Callithrix jacchus: one gene and its partner. The protein of the gene in region 1 interacts with the protein of each later gene in a biochemical or structural test. Links are inferred from orthologs where the notes say so. Each region holds a gene or a part of one and is shown in the gene's direction. Other genes may lie near its edges.

Region 1 (7,757 bases):
TTAAAAAATTTGTCCAGGCCTGATGGTGCACACCTGTAATCCCAGCTACTCAGGAGGCTAAGGTGTGAGAATCACTTAAGATCGGGAGTTCAAAGCTGCAGTGAACTATGACTGTGTCACTGTACTCCAACTTAGGTGACAGAACAAGACCCTGTCTCTTAAAAAAAAAATTAAATGTTCTTATCTATTGATTATACCAGACCTACCTTATATAGTCCCATGGATAGATGACCAGGCTGGCTTTCAATCAGGGACAGTATCTAGTGCCAATCCATAAAAATAAGTACCTGTTTACTTGGTAGGATTGTTAATGAGGAAAGATTGAATTGTTCTACTTTGTATCTCAAACCTCTAAAATACTTTGACTGACTGCACTGATTGCTTTAAACACGAGGTTTGGAAATATTTTCCAATATCTATCTGACTGACATCAACCTGTATCTTTTAATGGACAAAGGCTGTTAGCTATAAGAGACCACTGCCTCCTTGTTTAATAAACGGGAAAACTGGGATCCCAAGAAGCCTGATGGCTCAGCCTAGGCTGGCTAGAGGCTGCTGAGAGCCCAGTCTTCTTCACTGCTCACAACTCCCTCTGAGCAGTTGCTATATCAGCAAGGGAAGGTTTCACAGACATCTATTTCCTTATAAGAGAGCTCAGGGAGTATAAGGAAGGGGGCCCAATGCACAAGCTTGGCTGCCTGTGGCTGAGACACAGTGGTCAGTGGAGGTCTTTATGGTCACCAAAGCACTGACTCCTATATTCATTTATATTTCAAAAGTAGTAAATTCTCAAATAGCTGACAGGTGGGTCTGTCCTCACTCTGTAACCCCTGTAGTTCTCTGCAGTCAGCCAGCATCTTCAAGATTCTTCCATGTGGCAGACTCAGATGCTGAGAGAGCAGAGATGGATAAGACACTGACCTTGCACTCAAAGAACTAACAGTCCAGCAGCGTTTCTTGTTCATACCTCTTTTTTTTCCCACTGTATTCCCAGAATAAAGAAAACAAAGCAGCAGAGTATGCAGTGAAATGATTTTCTCATTCAGTTATGCAATGAAATTGGGATTCATCTATGAAAACTGGTATAGTGAAAAAGACATGAAATTTGAGGTCACATCTCCAAGAACAAATCCCAGGGCCCAATTTCTTAGCTGTGTGACCTTGGAGAAGTTACTCAACTTTTGAGTCTTAGTTTATACTGATCATTACACTTACTTCACAAGGTTGTCGAAATCATTAAACGAGATAATGTATGTAAACTACATAGTAGCGTTTGGCATTCGTTCATCTACTGAATTTGTGCAAGACCTACTATGTACTAGACACAGTTATAGGTGCTCACAGAACACACCACATATATATACATAAATATTAAAAGAATGAAAAATGCCACCTCTCTGCCCATTACCATTGTTCTCTTTTCAGTGGTAATAAAAGACAGTCACTGTTTTATTTATCAGAGACCGTTAGTAAAATGATGACCAAGAAACTTGCTAACTATATACAATCCCATCACTGTCAGTATTTTGTGAGAGTGCCTCATCTTTCTTCTGCATGTGAACAGGCCCTCCTCTGACATGTCTCTTTTTTTCCACAGTGTCAGTATGTCTACCTGCATCAGTGTGTAAGAGATGTCCTCAGAGCAAGGAAACTACGGAGTGAACAAGAAAACCCCTTGTTTCCAATCTACGAAAATGTGAATCCAGAGTATCACAGAGGTAGGCACTTACTTTACTAACTTCCGAGTTCCTTCATTAAGATATGGTCAGTATGGCCAGGCACAGAGGCTCACATTGCAGCATTTTGGGAGTCTGAGGCAGGAGGATCACTTGAGCCTAAGAGTTTGAAACCAGCCTGGGCAACATAACAAGACCCCGTCTCTACAAAAAATTAAAAAAAAAAAAATTAGCCAGACATCCTCTGTAGTCCCAGCTACTTGGAAGGCTGAGGGAGAGGATCACTTGGGCTTGGGAGGTCAAGGCTGCAGTGAGCTGAGTTCACACCACTGCACTCCACTCTGGGTGACAGAGCAAGATCCTGTCTCAAAGAAAAAGAAAAAGATTCTAACTGGACGCAGTGGCTCAAGCTTGTAATTCCAGCAATTCCTTGCCATGTGGACTGTTCTCTCTCTATAAATCAGATAATCTTTCTTTGACAGACATTATTTCACACGCTCTTATCTCCATTTGTAAATGATCTTCAGTGTCTCCTAACCTCCTTTTTTTTTTTTTTTTTTTTTTTTTTTGAGACGGAGTTTCGCCCCTGTTACCCAGGCTGGAGTGCAATGGCGTGATCTCGGCTCACTGCAACCTCCGCCTCCCGGGTTCAGGCAATTCTCCTGCCTCAGCCTCCTGAGTAGCTGGGATTACAGGCATGCGCCACCGTGCCCAGCTAATTTTTTGTATTTTTAGTAGAGACGGGGTTTCACCATGTTGACCGAGATGGTCTCAATCTCTTGACCTCGTGATCCACCCGCCTCGGCCTCCCAAAGTGCTGGGATTACAGGCGTGAGCCACCTCGCCCGGCTGTCTCCTAACCTTTTACTTAGTTCTCTGTTTCATCAAGCGTAGCCAGTATATTAATGAGTTAACAATCTACAAAGCACAAATAAAGAGCTACTATTTAGAGGAGTCCTTTGTAAATCAGATAATCTTTTGTATGATAAATAATTACCCCCTAATTTATCTGTATAGTCATTTAAGGTTTTTGAATTGGAGATTCCTTAAGAAGCTTCAGGATAGAGCAAGTTCTGAGGGATCTGGGAGGTTCCTTTGTCTTGTTTTGACTTGTCTGAGAATCTTAGTAATCTTGGGCACCCCTGAAAGAAGCTAACTATGGTATAGAAAAAGTTAACCACCAGGCACTGAAGGCTAAGATTCAGGTCCAAACTCTTGAACTAACTAGCATTAACAAGCTGTGTAACGTGGGTAAGTTACTCTGCCTCTCTGGGCCTATGGCTTCATCCATAAAAACAGAGGAGATGGGCTAGAATTATTAGTCCCTTCCAAGTCTAATAATCTGTGTTTCTAATTGGAATGACCTGGTCCCCATAGGAATGTTCTCACCTTAGACCATGTTGAGCTTTATTCATTTCTGCCGGTCTTTTGCATTGATAATTTTCATAAACCACTATGACACACCCTGCTGCTGCCTCTAATTTCAGTGTTCTTCCTTTCAGATCCAGTCTATTCAAGGCATTAAGAATGTACCTGAAGAGCTCCTGGATAAAAATTATTCACTGTGTGATTTGTTTATAAAAACTTGCTTCATGCCCTATAGAGGTGCCAGCTATTTCTGTTGATACTATGTATAATTTATTAATCTGGAGAATGTTTAAAATTTTATATAATTTAAAGGTAACATATTATTGTACATAGTTGTATTTTGTAGTTTCTTCTGTAAATATGTTTTTCATAATGTTTAATATTAAGCTTTATATAATTCTATTTTTCCACACTAAAGTGTTCATGACTTGTTCTACATAAACTAATTCAACCTGTATGATAGGACTGCTGGTTAAATGCATATGGAGGTGGTGGCAGAGACAATCCCTTAGGCATGTTTTCTACCTGTTTTGATATTCACTGGACAGGATAAAGGGCAAGGCTAGAGAGAGCAAATACTATGGCTAGCTTTGTTGCGTTGCTGTCCCATGAATCTCGATAGCCAACAGGCATGTCCTAACATGCTACTAGGACAAATGTAACAGTCAAAAATAGGATTAGAGGGAGATAGAAGAATTAATGAAGCAGTACCAAAGCTGAACCAGATGGTTGTGTCTGAACTAGTTGTTCTCTCTCCCTTCTCCTGCCAGGGATTGAAGCCAAAGGGGTCTGGGATCATGCAACTTGCAGTCCAAGCCTAGGATGCAGGGTTGAGGGTTCTGGTTGATAGAGAATAATTCCAAACAGAAGTGATGAATTCCTTTTGTTAAGAAGATGCCAGCTATACCCAGACTAGAAACAACATGCAAAGCACTAACTATAGTGATTAGAGATTCTTTTACCGCATTCATGGTGTGGAGTGTGAACATGCACACCCATACTGTAATGTATTTATATTGTCTCATTTTCCATAGTCTCCATTCCTGGAAAAGTCACAATTATCCATTTCTACTTGGTTTCCCATTAAAAGAATATTATGGTAACAGATCGTGCCCCTGATTAAAAGACTTAATGCCATTATTTTCACAGAAATGACTACAATAATATATTTTAAATTTAAAAAAACAGAATGAACGAAAACAGTGGTCGTTAATAAAATTCTCAAAACTTTAGTAAATCAATGACGTCAAAATGTCAAGTAGTCACCTAAAGTTGCATATAATAGCTAAAGGCACTACATACTGTACCAAGTTTATCTTCGATATTTGTGCCTTACTTTGACTACAACAAATTCCAGTGAATCAGAAAGTGGGCATTCCCTTCATCAAGGTCAGTTCTGAGAGCATTCCCGGGGAAAATCTGAAAGGCATTTGTATGGACTCTTCATAGATACCTGAGAAGATGAGCTGGAGATGTTGGCCTTTTTCATGCTACAGATTTTTCTGTAATAAACTTGGGAATTAGAGGTCGAGTTTGTTTGTTGATGGCACAGCTTCATTTGCAGAAAGAGTACATTTCTTTTCAAAGTATGTATTTCTGTAACCTACCATAAAGTCCGCTAAGTAATACAATGAATGTAATTGGCATAATAATTGAAAATCATTGACTATACCTAAAAGAGTTATTTATAGTTAAATAACTCTATACCCAATCTGGAAAATTTCCAGGGTTATTTGAAGTTTACAAAAATGTGAAGCATAATAATAAGTTTCAAAGTTCCACAGTTTCATTGTGCTCAATGCCCTTGTGAAATGACAGTCTAGGCTCTGATTCTGTATCAGGGAGCTAAGCGGATCTTCTGGAAATGAAAAGGAACAATGTATGCATAAGTGCAGCAGATGTACCACCAGCGAGAAAATAGAGGTCAGATTTACAAGGTGCAGCATCTATGAGAAATCACCTTTCCTATATTGAAAAGAAAAAGCAAAAATACAACAAAAGAGAATTTTACACTAGTATTGCTTGACGCAAAGCACATTGATGCCTGGAAGGATACATTCATTTTTGACTTTTCATTCACTCAGCAAACTTTTAGTAGGTGCCTGCAACCTACTAGACACTGTTCCAGAATCTATGCAGTTCTACTCACATAAAGAGAATCCTCATAAAGTTAGGACTATTGTTACTACCTTGAATTGAGCTTAAAAGAGGGCCTCATCAAGGGAATGGGATAACTGACTGGATTAGACAGTGGTCACCTTCCACAGGTCACACACTGGCAAGTGCTAATGCTACTTCAACAGCAAACCTCTGGATCTAGAAGACAGAGCAATTAATTGGACAAACCAGGAATTAAAATCACAAAAAAACCTATACATCTGTAATAGTAAATAACACTCACATACCCTGGCAACATCAAGGTAGTATAAGAATTATGTAAATGGACGTGACAGGAAAACATGGTCGGTTCTTTTAGTCTACTCCAGGAAATATTTATTCCTACCCTACACCCAATTTTAAACCTCCTTAGCAACTAATATTTCACCATCCTCTCCTGCTCCCAGGAAAACTAAATACATAATTGATCTATTTATTAAATTAGGTGACAAAAAAGTTTTCCTTGACATTCAGCTCTATTGGATGTATTTTCATTTAATTACATCATATGTTGTGTCTTGGTAAACACTTCATTTCCTGTCTGGGTGGACATCCTGTCTGTGCACCTGTGCAGTACACTTCAATCATCAAGGCTTCAAAGTGCTTTCGAGCTATCAAATCTTGGGAGAGTCCCATCTAGCATCTTAATAATTACTTTTCCAAGTTCTTTATAATTAACTCCTTTAATCTCATCTCATTAAGTCAATTTTGTATTATCATTTTGTTGTTCTCTGGAAAGCAGCCAATTGTTCAGCTCTTGAATCAGAATTTTCAAAGACTCACCTCTCTTATCTGGGCTTGCACATATTTTTCCTAAGTAATTCTCCATCCCTTAAAGCTGAGTCCCTGTGTTTCATTACTCACCCCACTCCTTCCAGTTGAATATGTTCATTTTCCCAATCAAATTTAATTTTTATCTACTATTCATATTATCTTTTATACCCATGAGGATAATCTCATAGTCCTTTCAGTATCCAAATTATCAAAGAGATGACCATAATTTCCCTTTTTTTATTTTTTTGAGACATCATCTTGCTCTGTCGCCCAGTCTGGAGCACAGTGGTGCAATCTTGGCTCACTGCAAACTCCGTCTCCCAGGTTCAAGTGATTCTCCTGCCTCAGCTTCCTGAGTAGCTGAGATTAAAGATACCCACCCACCATGCCTGGCTAAATTTTGTGTTTTTAGGAGAGACGGGGTTTCACCATGTTGGCCTCAGGTGATCAGCCCACCCTGGCCTCCCAAAGTGCTGGGATTATAAGCGTGAGCTACTGCGCCCATCCAATTTCACTTTTAAATACTAAAAGGGACACAGCATGCAGACATTTTGAAACCAGTTTTATCTGGAAAGGTCTTTGATTAATTTTGTAATTACCTCTCAGAAGAAAGCCCAAAACGACATGTGAAAATAATATTAAACCATTTAGCAGATGTCCAGCAATACAAAAATAGACCTCACATGCTACCTTTCACATGCTGATTCTCTTGCCTTCATGTACAAGGGTCCAGTTTTTTATGTTAAATATTTTCCTTACCTTTGGCAATAAAATTATTGGTCGTATACTAAATTCTCATTCACTTAATTTTCTGGGAATGCTTTGAGGTTGGAATCCTGAAATCATAAAGCTACCAGATCTGCACAACAGCAGTGGTAGTATCTGAACCCTAACTCTGGGACACTCTACAATTTTAGTTTACAAACATGAGCCAGACCAAACCTGACCTAGAGAAAATCAATAGGTAATAAAGCTGCTTGCTTGTGATAGCAGTTCAAGGGCTTCCTGTGTTCCATTTCTTTGAGGAAATGAAAGCATTATAACTGATTAGCCAAGAAAGAGTAGAAATAAGGAAGAGCTGATCTTCCTCAAGTTGCAGTGAGCAAGCCCTCAAGCCTACCTCATTCCTGAAGAGTTGAAGGAGAAAATGCCCTATTAATTTTCTGCCCTGCTATTTTTAACCTGCAATTTAAAATCACAACAGGTATTCAAAGAATGTTCCAAATCAAAGGAAAAATCTATAAACCATGACTGCAGAAAGCAAGTGAAATAATACAGAGAGAAAATATTTGTAAAAGAGAATCTAACCAGACATCATCAGGAAGATAAAATGGCACCTCTTCTGTGTGGACTGGGTGTGCTTGGACAATTTTGTCATACGTTTCTATTATTGTTGCCCTTTTGAGGATTCACTCTGACTACGTTGGCCAGATGATTTATCTGATTAAACAATTGAATCAGTTATTTTGCTTTTTGAATTGACCAGATGTTTAACTAAATGTACTGGGTTTGGCATTTTAGACACACTGCCTTAGATTCTTGTGGTGCATGATGACTTTGAAAATGTTTGGCCATTTTAGTTAAAATGCAGGATAACATTTGATGCAGCCATGATAACAGGAAAAATCTGTTCTGTTCTAAAAATGTTTCTAGCAATAGAAGTATTTCTGGCTAAGAGAATACTCTTGACTTGTAGGGAGGCTCCCTTGGAATAAATGTATGCAACACAAATAAGGCATTTTATTTTTTAAAGATTATCTATATAGATGCACTTATTAAATA
Region 2 (7,757 bases), about 38 Mb from region 1:
TGATTTGCATCTCTACCTCTCCACAGAAACCTTTCTTTCCATGACCACCAACTTCCATATTGCTGAAGCCCATGTTCAATTCTCAGTTGTACTTTGTTTAATCTAACATAAGTGGTTGCCACAGTTGGTCCCTCCCTTCTTCGTTATTTACTTTCTGTGCTTTTTGACTGGGACCCGCTCTGTTATGAATTTCCTTGTATAATCTTTCATTCTCCATTTATGTTTCCTCCTTACTCCATACCTTTCTACCATCGGTGTGATCAGGGTTCCATCTGTGAACCTCATCTCCATTTCAGTCACTCCCTTTAGGATCCCATTCATGATCATGGCTTTAGACACACTCTACCCTGAACACTGTAACCCAGACATTTATCCTGAACCTCAGACTTGTATATCCAATGCCACAGTAATGTTAACGTGATACATATCAAGTATGCATGAAATAGCCTCCTGAAAGGAAGAAAAGTAGTTAAGAGCTTTAAAACTTTTGAAATAAATCCATCACTTTCTACCAGGTTTCTAAAGCTTATAGACATGTTTTTATTCAACATATTAAGAAAACTACACCCAGGCTCTCAGCAGAGTAGAATTTTGAACTGTTCAATATCTAAAGCCTGAGAAGAACCAAGGTGCCAGAGCAGGTATTTATAGCAGGTAATTTAAGAGAAATATTTCTTCTTTACTAATACAGCATACTCAGTATTATCTTTAGGTCTGATCACATCACTCGAAAGTTACATCATTAAGCCATATATAGAATGTATCAAGCCAATTCAATTATTCAGTATAAAATGTAATAGCAAATGTCTGTGTTACCTATGTGAGACCAAGACAGAAAAGGTGCTGATATTCCTGTATTATGTATTGCTAAGATTGTATACAAAGTAAAGCCTCTCTCAATTAACATGAATGTATCCACCAATATTTAAAAAAAATCTCTTTATGTTATGGACAGATATAATGATGAGTGAAAAATTGTACTAAATAAGACTATATATGCTATAAAATATGTATATAGGTGTACATATGTCTACATATATTATATACATTATAATGTGTAATATTGATGGTATTTGGTGAGATTATAAAAATGTTTTCTAGTTTTTAAATTTCTGGTATTTTATTACTTGTTAAATGCCTTATATAAGATGTATATATTGCTTTTGCCATAAACTTAATACAAGTTCCCATTTTCAAAGAAAGTTATTTTCCACTCAGGATTCTTTCTTCCTACTTCCATTTTATTTTATATTAATTTATTTATCTGCATCTATTTGGATTAGATAACTGAAGTAATCAAAAAGACCATCAAACTGTTCATTTTCTTGTTCTCTAGAAATATGATTTTCTTAGGAATATTTTTAGCATTTTCTCATTTTTATGGGTGTTTCTTTAGATATCAAGTAGATCAGATTAAAGAATGAGACTGAGATCAATTTTACTCATGCATGGATTTCACCAATCATGGCTACTATATGTAGTTTCTAATATGGAAAGAGTATATTTAAGTGTCCAGGTAATTTTCTAACACCACAGTAAGATGTTACAGTGGCCACTAGCTAAATTACATCAAAATGAAGATAATATATACTTGAAGGAGTGGGAAAAAATCTGAATCTTTATCCAAAAGGTTAAGAGATGGTGCCATATTGAATTGAGACATAATTCTTTAAAACCTCAATTGTTATTTTGACAGACTTGAAAGATTTGTTATGAGCAGAAAAAAAATATTTTAGTACTAATTATAACTCAGCTTTTCAACAAAACATGATTTACAAATGGAAAAATAATGACTGAGTTATAGTTACCTCCTTTTAGAGTAATATAGGATTTGCATAGGTTAAACCTAACAAAGAAAAGGCCTATGCAAGTACAATTTTGATGGTTCAAATACTGAATTTGGGATACCTATAATATCTGATGTATTCTGCAGAATAAGGTTTACTAATGTAATATTTATACTCTGGAGGTTATAATGGATCTTGAGACTTGCATTTAAAATGTACAATGTTTCTTACTTTTTAGCATTCCCTGAGTGGGTAGAACATATCAATGACACAGAGGTGGACATAGGCAGCGATCTCTACTGGCCTTGTGTGGCCACAGGGAAGCCCATCCCTACCATCCGATGGTTGAAAAATGGATATGCGGTATGTACGTTCATGTACTTTGCTGTTCCTGAGTCCCTGTTCAAGCAATGTTTCAGGGTGGTCCTGGGATAAATTTAGCAGGAGAATCAATAGAGAAAGAGTACTTGGGCCCTGAAATATAAAAGCTTCCTAAAAAAGATAAAAACTGAACATAAAGTATCTTCTTTCAGTTTAAACAACTTTCTGTAATCTTACTCTACCTTCTTTCTCTCTCTCCTTCTTTTTTCCTTTGTTCCACTTTTCCACCCTCTTCCTACTCATCCATCTCCAATACCTGATATTGTCCTCTTTTTCTTGCCACTATTTTCCTGTACCCCACAGAGACAGAGGTAAGAGTGAAGCTCTAAGTCCTACCTTTGGCCCTGGGGACAAGTAGCAGCAGTGGGATTCTTCTCTACCTTCCCACTGTAATCTCCCAGCTGGTCCAAGAGGGGAAAAGGTGGACTCTCAGCTCTGTAGGATGAATAGAACAAGAGCCTTTGGGCATGGTAAGTGGGTTTCCTTTCCCATGCCACGAAAATCCCACTCAGTTCATCTTAGGTAACAGTGGGGGCAGATGAACATAATGTATCTACATGAAAAGACAAACAAGCCCAAACCTAAGTGAAAGTATTACTATTACAGTTCATTGAGAATATGTTTAACTTTTATTCTTTTCAGTATCATAAAGGGGAATTGAGACTATATGACGTGACTTTTGAAAATGCTGGAATGTATCAGTGCATAGCTGAAAACACACATGGAGCCATTTATGCAAATGCTGAGTTGAAGATCTTAGGTCAGTATCATTTCTAATTTCTGTTAAACATTCATCAAGAAGGTGACATTTAAAAAAGATGATGGAGTATCCATGGATCACATTTGATTTCACATTACGTTCTTTAATGTCCAATATTAAAAACTTTTAAAATGCGGTGGGGAATGAAATGATATGGTTTTTCCTTTCACTGAAGAACATTTAAGCAGGGAGGAAGTAACGCTTTAAACTTTTCTTATGCTAGTTGAAAATTCCAACTACATACAAATTTCTATTGAATTAAATTGCATCATTTTATTTTTAGTTAAGAAGCTGAAGTGTATAATAAATTTGAAGGAACATGGAATATAATTGTTTTGGTATTTTTTTAAATGATAAAGCACAATTTACACATGCCAATTTTGACAACAAGTCTTATCCTCTCATATGCCTGGACAGCTGAACACTGCCTGCAGAATCACATAACATTGAAGACTGATGCTAAAACACTGCATGTGATCCAGCCTCAGATGAGTATTTGGTCATTTTTGGAACATTCTCAGTCCCTGGGTCTCATGCCCTACAGTTGCTATTCAGAACTTTTAGGACATTCTGCAAGTCCCTTACTGCACCCGGACTCTGGCTTTTATATTGTATTCTTGTGCTCCATGAAAATTGAAATCGTTTGTCATAAAGTATTTCAACTTCCCATCCACTCAAAGCTGTCTCTTTACTACATTTGCCTTTTCAATACTCTTTATCTGGAGAAGAAAGAATCTCTCCTAAGCAAACATCAAACAGTTATTTTACCTCTCTGCACTATATTCATTCCTTTTCATTTTTCTTGATACTTGATATCAACAGCTGTTCATTCTCCTGTGTATGTGTATGTGCTCTGTGTGTGTGTGTGTGTGTGTGTGTGTGTGTGTGTGTGTCTGTGTCTGAAAACATATCCACCAGTTGCCTCTTTCTGGTCCTGTATTATTCTCAGGCTTTCTTATCTCTTTCTTTGGTGATTCTGAGCCATAAGACCTCACAGACCACTTCTTCTCTATCTCCTTCATTGTCACCTTTTCACCCTCTCCTCTGTCTGGCTAGAAATCTTGCTCTATCCCAGCATTCCATTTCTCTGATCCATTTCATTCCCTTTTCCATTTCCCTTTATGTATCCTACATTATTATGCCTGGTTTTTATTTTTATTTTTAAAATTTCTAGTGAATTTTTTCTGCATCTCCTATTACTTACTAGTGATCCCATAATTTATATCTCTGACCCAGATAGTTATCCTTAGCTTCAATCTCAATATAAATACTTCCTAGAAGCAATATTCATTTGGATAATCCCACAGAGAATCCAAACTTAGCATGTCTGCAGCTGAATTCTTTTTTAATATCTCCCACCCACACTCACATCTCCTCCTCAAAGATTCTTTGTTCTGAAGAATGGCAGAGTTTATCATGTCCCTTCCCCATCCAGTACATCTGCTAATCTTCTGCAATTCACACCAGAGATATCTCCAAGGTGTTTTATTATGACTACTTTATGTATATTCACTACAACTACTTTACAATTGTCTATTTTGTTTTGAGACAGTCTCTCTCTATCAAGGGTTTTAGTGTCAATTAATTTGTAGGGATACCAGTGTTTTGAAGAAATATAATCCTATTATAATCTATAATTTTAATATATATATTTAATAAAATTGAATTTAATGTGATTTACAATAATTTCTGATATAAATTATGATTTATTATAATTTAATAGTAGTGTATATGTTATTATAATCCTATTAAAATATCCTATTAATTTTTTTAAATGTTTTTGAAGCAATATGTTGTGTTACACAAAATGCTTATTGAACCTACACAGAATATCCAGTACTATGTTAGGTATACAACATAGGTTGGTTGTTTACTAATTTATGTATTGCCAGTTATCCCTTTACCGAGCTAAAATGAAATGGTGTGATCTCAGTTCACTGCAATTTCCACCTCCTGTGCTCAAGCCATCCTCCCACCTCAGCCTCCAAAGTAGCTGAGACAACAGGCGCACTTCACCACACCCAGCAAAATGCTTTATTTTTTGTTGAGATGGAGGTTCTCCATGTTGCTAAGGCTGGTCTAGAACTCCTGAGTTAAGTGGTCTACCCATTTTGGCCTCCCAAAATGTTGGCATTGCAGGCATGAGCCACTGTGCCCAGCCCAAAAGTCTTACTGTATTATGTCCTTTTCATGTTGTTTGAAAGAGTTGTCACTAGGTCAAGTCATATTTTAAGTAGTGAATTCAGGAAGTCAGGCTTTTTCTTCTAGCATTAGTTGTTGAAAAGATAAAGCAAGACTCAATGCGGCCACTTTTTTTCGTGCTGCACCCAAAGAATACTCTTCAAAACATTGGTATCCCTACAGATTGACGGACACAAAAAGAAAATGATAGGAAATGAGAGAATTATAGAGAAGTAAATAAAACTAGTCTCAATAAGTTAAGGCCATTTTAATTTTTTTGTTTTTGAGACGGAGTTTTGCTCTTGTTGCCCAGGCTAGAGTGCAATGGCACATTCTCGGCTCACTGCAACCTCCGCCTCCTGGGGTCAAGCAATTCTCCTGCCTCAGCCTCCCAGGTAGCTGGGATTACAGGCATGTGCCACCACGTCTGGCTAATTTTTTGTATTTTTAGCAGAGACAGGGTTTCACCACATTGGCCAGGATGGTTTCAGTCTCTTGACCTTGTGATCCACCCGCCTCAGCCTCCCAAAGTGCCAGGATTACAGGCATGAGCCACCACACCCAGCCAGGCCATCTTAATTTTAACATTCCAATCCACTTATTATAATGCTGAAGATCATACTCTATTTCTTCCTCCCTAAAGCCTAAATTTCCTGGTAATATATTTACTCTAGGTTCTTGGATATCAAGAAAGCATTGCAAGCTCAGATATCTTTGGTAAAAAAGAATATAAAATCATTTTCACTCAGAGAAGTCAGTTTGAATTCTGTCCCAAATGTAAATTTTATTTTCTGTTAAAGTTCATATCTTAGTATATTACCAAAAACAAATATAACAATTCCTCAGCTCAGACTGAAAAATTTCTATATATTTCGGTTAGAATTGTCAAGTCTTTTAATGACTGTTAATGTAATAACTAGCAAACAGAACAATTTGATCCTCCCCAGATCAATAGCCCTGAACATGTTTAAATTTGTCTCAGTCATTCTCGTTTATTATACTCTTATGCACAGTGCTTCTCTCTCCCTCTCTTTTCCGGGGTTATTTAGTTAATTCATGTGTTCATCCAGCAAATATTTATTGAGCACTTATTCTACAGCAGATGCTATTCTTTTAATAGGTTCATATATTACAATAAAGAACCAAAGACACAAGATATGCATCATACCTTCATCTTAATTGAGAGGAAGGATATCACCTTATATTTTGCCACTTCTAAAACATATATAGGAACATAGTCTAGATTCTGTTGTTAGAAATGCAAATATTAGATAAATCTGAAGTCATTTAAAGGACCACATCAAATCAACTATTTCATTAACACCTAAACTGATTCAAGGAAAATCCTTATTTTCCATCTGAATTTTTGTTTTTAAAATATAATCCTATTAAATTTTCTTTTATGTTTTCAAAGCAATATGTCATGTCACACAAAATGTTTATTGAGACTACACAAAACACCCAGAAGTGCGTTAGGTGTACAGCATGGGTTGTTGCTTACTACTTTATTGCCAGTTATCAAAATTTAGACTAACAAAACAATGGAATAGAATGAATCTTTGCCACAGAAGGTGTCTTCCCCAGAGCGTCAGCAGCAGTGGCCATACCAAGGAGCACATTAGAAGTGCAGAATCCCATGCTCACCCCAGACCTACTGAATGGACACTTTAAAAACATCCCCAGATGATTTCAATACACACATAAATTTGAGAATGAGCAGACTAGATAATGAAGAGTCAAAACTCAGATAAAGATATGCTTAAGCCTAGAAAAGCCTCCAGAAAGTACACAGTTACAGTTGATTGTCATGTGTTGAAATATATGGATGAAATCTGCTTGGAGTTTGCCAAGAGAAAAGGAGAGTGAGCGGTAGATTGAATGTGGGAAACCGGAGGAAAGTCAGAGCACACCAGCGAAGGAGTATTCTGTTCTGATAAGTATTGTTCTTTACTTGGATGTAAGGATGAACTACAAATGATCATGTTCTCCTTAATTCGTTGATTAGATCCATTATTCCCATGGCTGTTTATGGATAGGTGCCGAAAGCAGGGCTTCAATTATTTTGGCATTTTGCAGAGTGTCTGCATACAGTTGATACTCAGTAAATGTATACAGAAGGAGAGATTGCTTGCTTAATGAAAAGCACATGCTTTGGAAACAGAAGGACCTAGATTCAAATGTGACTCCTGGTGATTACTACCTGTGGCACCTTTGCCAAATTAGATAATCCTAATAGATTTCAATTTTTTCATTTATAAACTGGGGGTAGTTCATTCAACATGTGGTTGAGAGGATTGACTAGGATCATATGTCAGTGTGTATAATGCTGGTCAATTTTCTCCAGCCTTTCATTTTACTTTCCTTGTGGGATTGAGTCAAACCAACTGAATTTAGTGTTAATTTTAAGGTAAATGTGTATAAAACATTTGATGAAATTAAAGTGATTGATTGATTGAGACATAGCCTCACTGTGTCACTCAGGCTGGAGTGCAGTGGTGCAATCATGGCTCACTGCAGACTTGACCTTCTAGATTCAGGTGATCCTCCACCTCAGTCTCCTGGATAGCTGGGACTACAGGTGGGCAAACATGCCCAGCTAATTTTTTGTATTTTAGGTTAGATGGAGTTTCACCATGTTACCCAGTCTG

What was found. The genes of interacting proteins can lie anywhere in the genome.
Region 2: the proteins of PTPRB (region 1) and CNTN1 form a complex in vitro, tested with the Homo sapiens proteins (2 studies listed by BioGRID). The link is inferred for Callithrix jacchus from reciprocal best matches to the Homo sapiens genes PTPRB and CNTN1.

What each region holds. Positions count from the first base shown.
Region 1 is NC_133510.1:73,039,317-73,047,073, reverse strand, and holds the end of PTPRB (receptor-type tyrosine-protein phosphatase beta), read left to right. Parts: intron 1-1,597; coding exon 1,598-1,718; intron 1,719-3,178; coding exon 3,179-3,201; 3' UTR 3,202-4,573; downstream 4,574-7,757. UniProt on the Homo sapiens protein: Plays an important role in blood vessel remodeling and angiogenesis. Not necessary for the initial formation of blood vessels, but is essential for their maintenance and remodeling. Can induce dephosphorylation of TEK/TIE2, CDH5/VE-cadherin and KDR/VEGFR-2.
Region 2 is NC_133510.1:34,751,891-34,759,647, reverse strand, and holds part of CNTN1 (contactin-1), read left to right. Parts: intron 1-2,025; coding exon 2,026-2,150; intron 2,151-2,810; coding exon 2,811-2,928; intron 2,929-7,757. UniProt on the Homo sapiens protein: Contactins mediate cell surface interactions during nervous system development.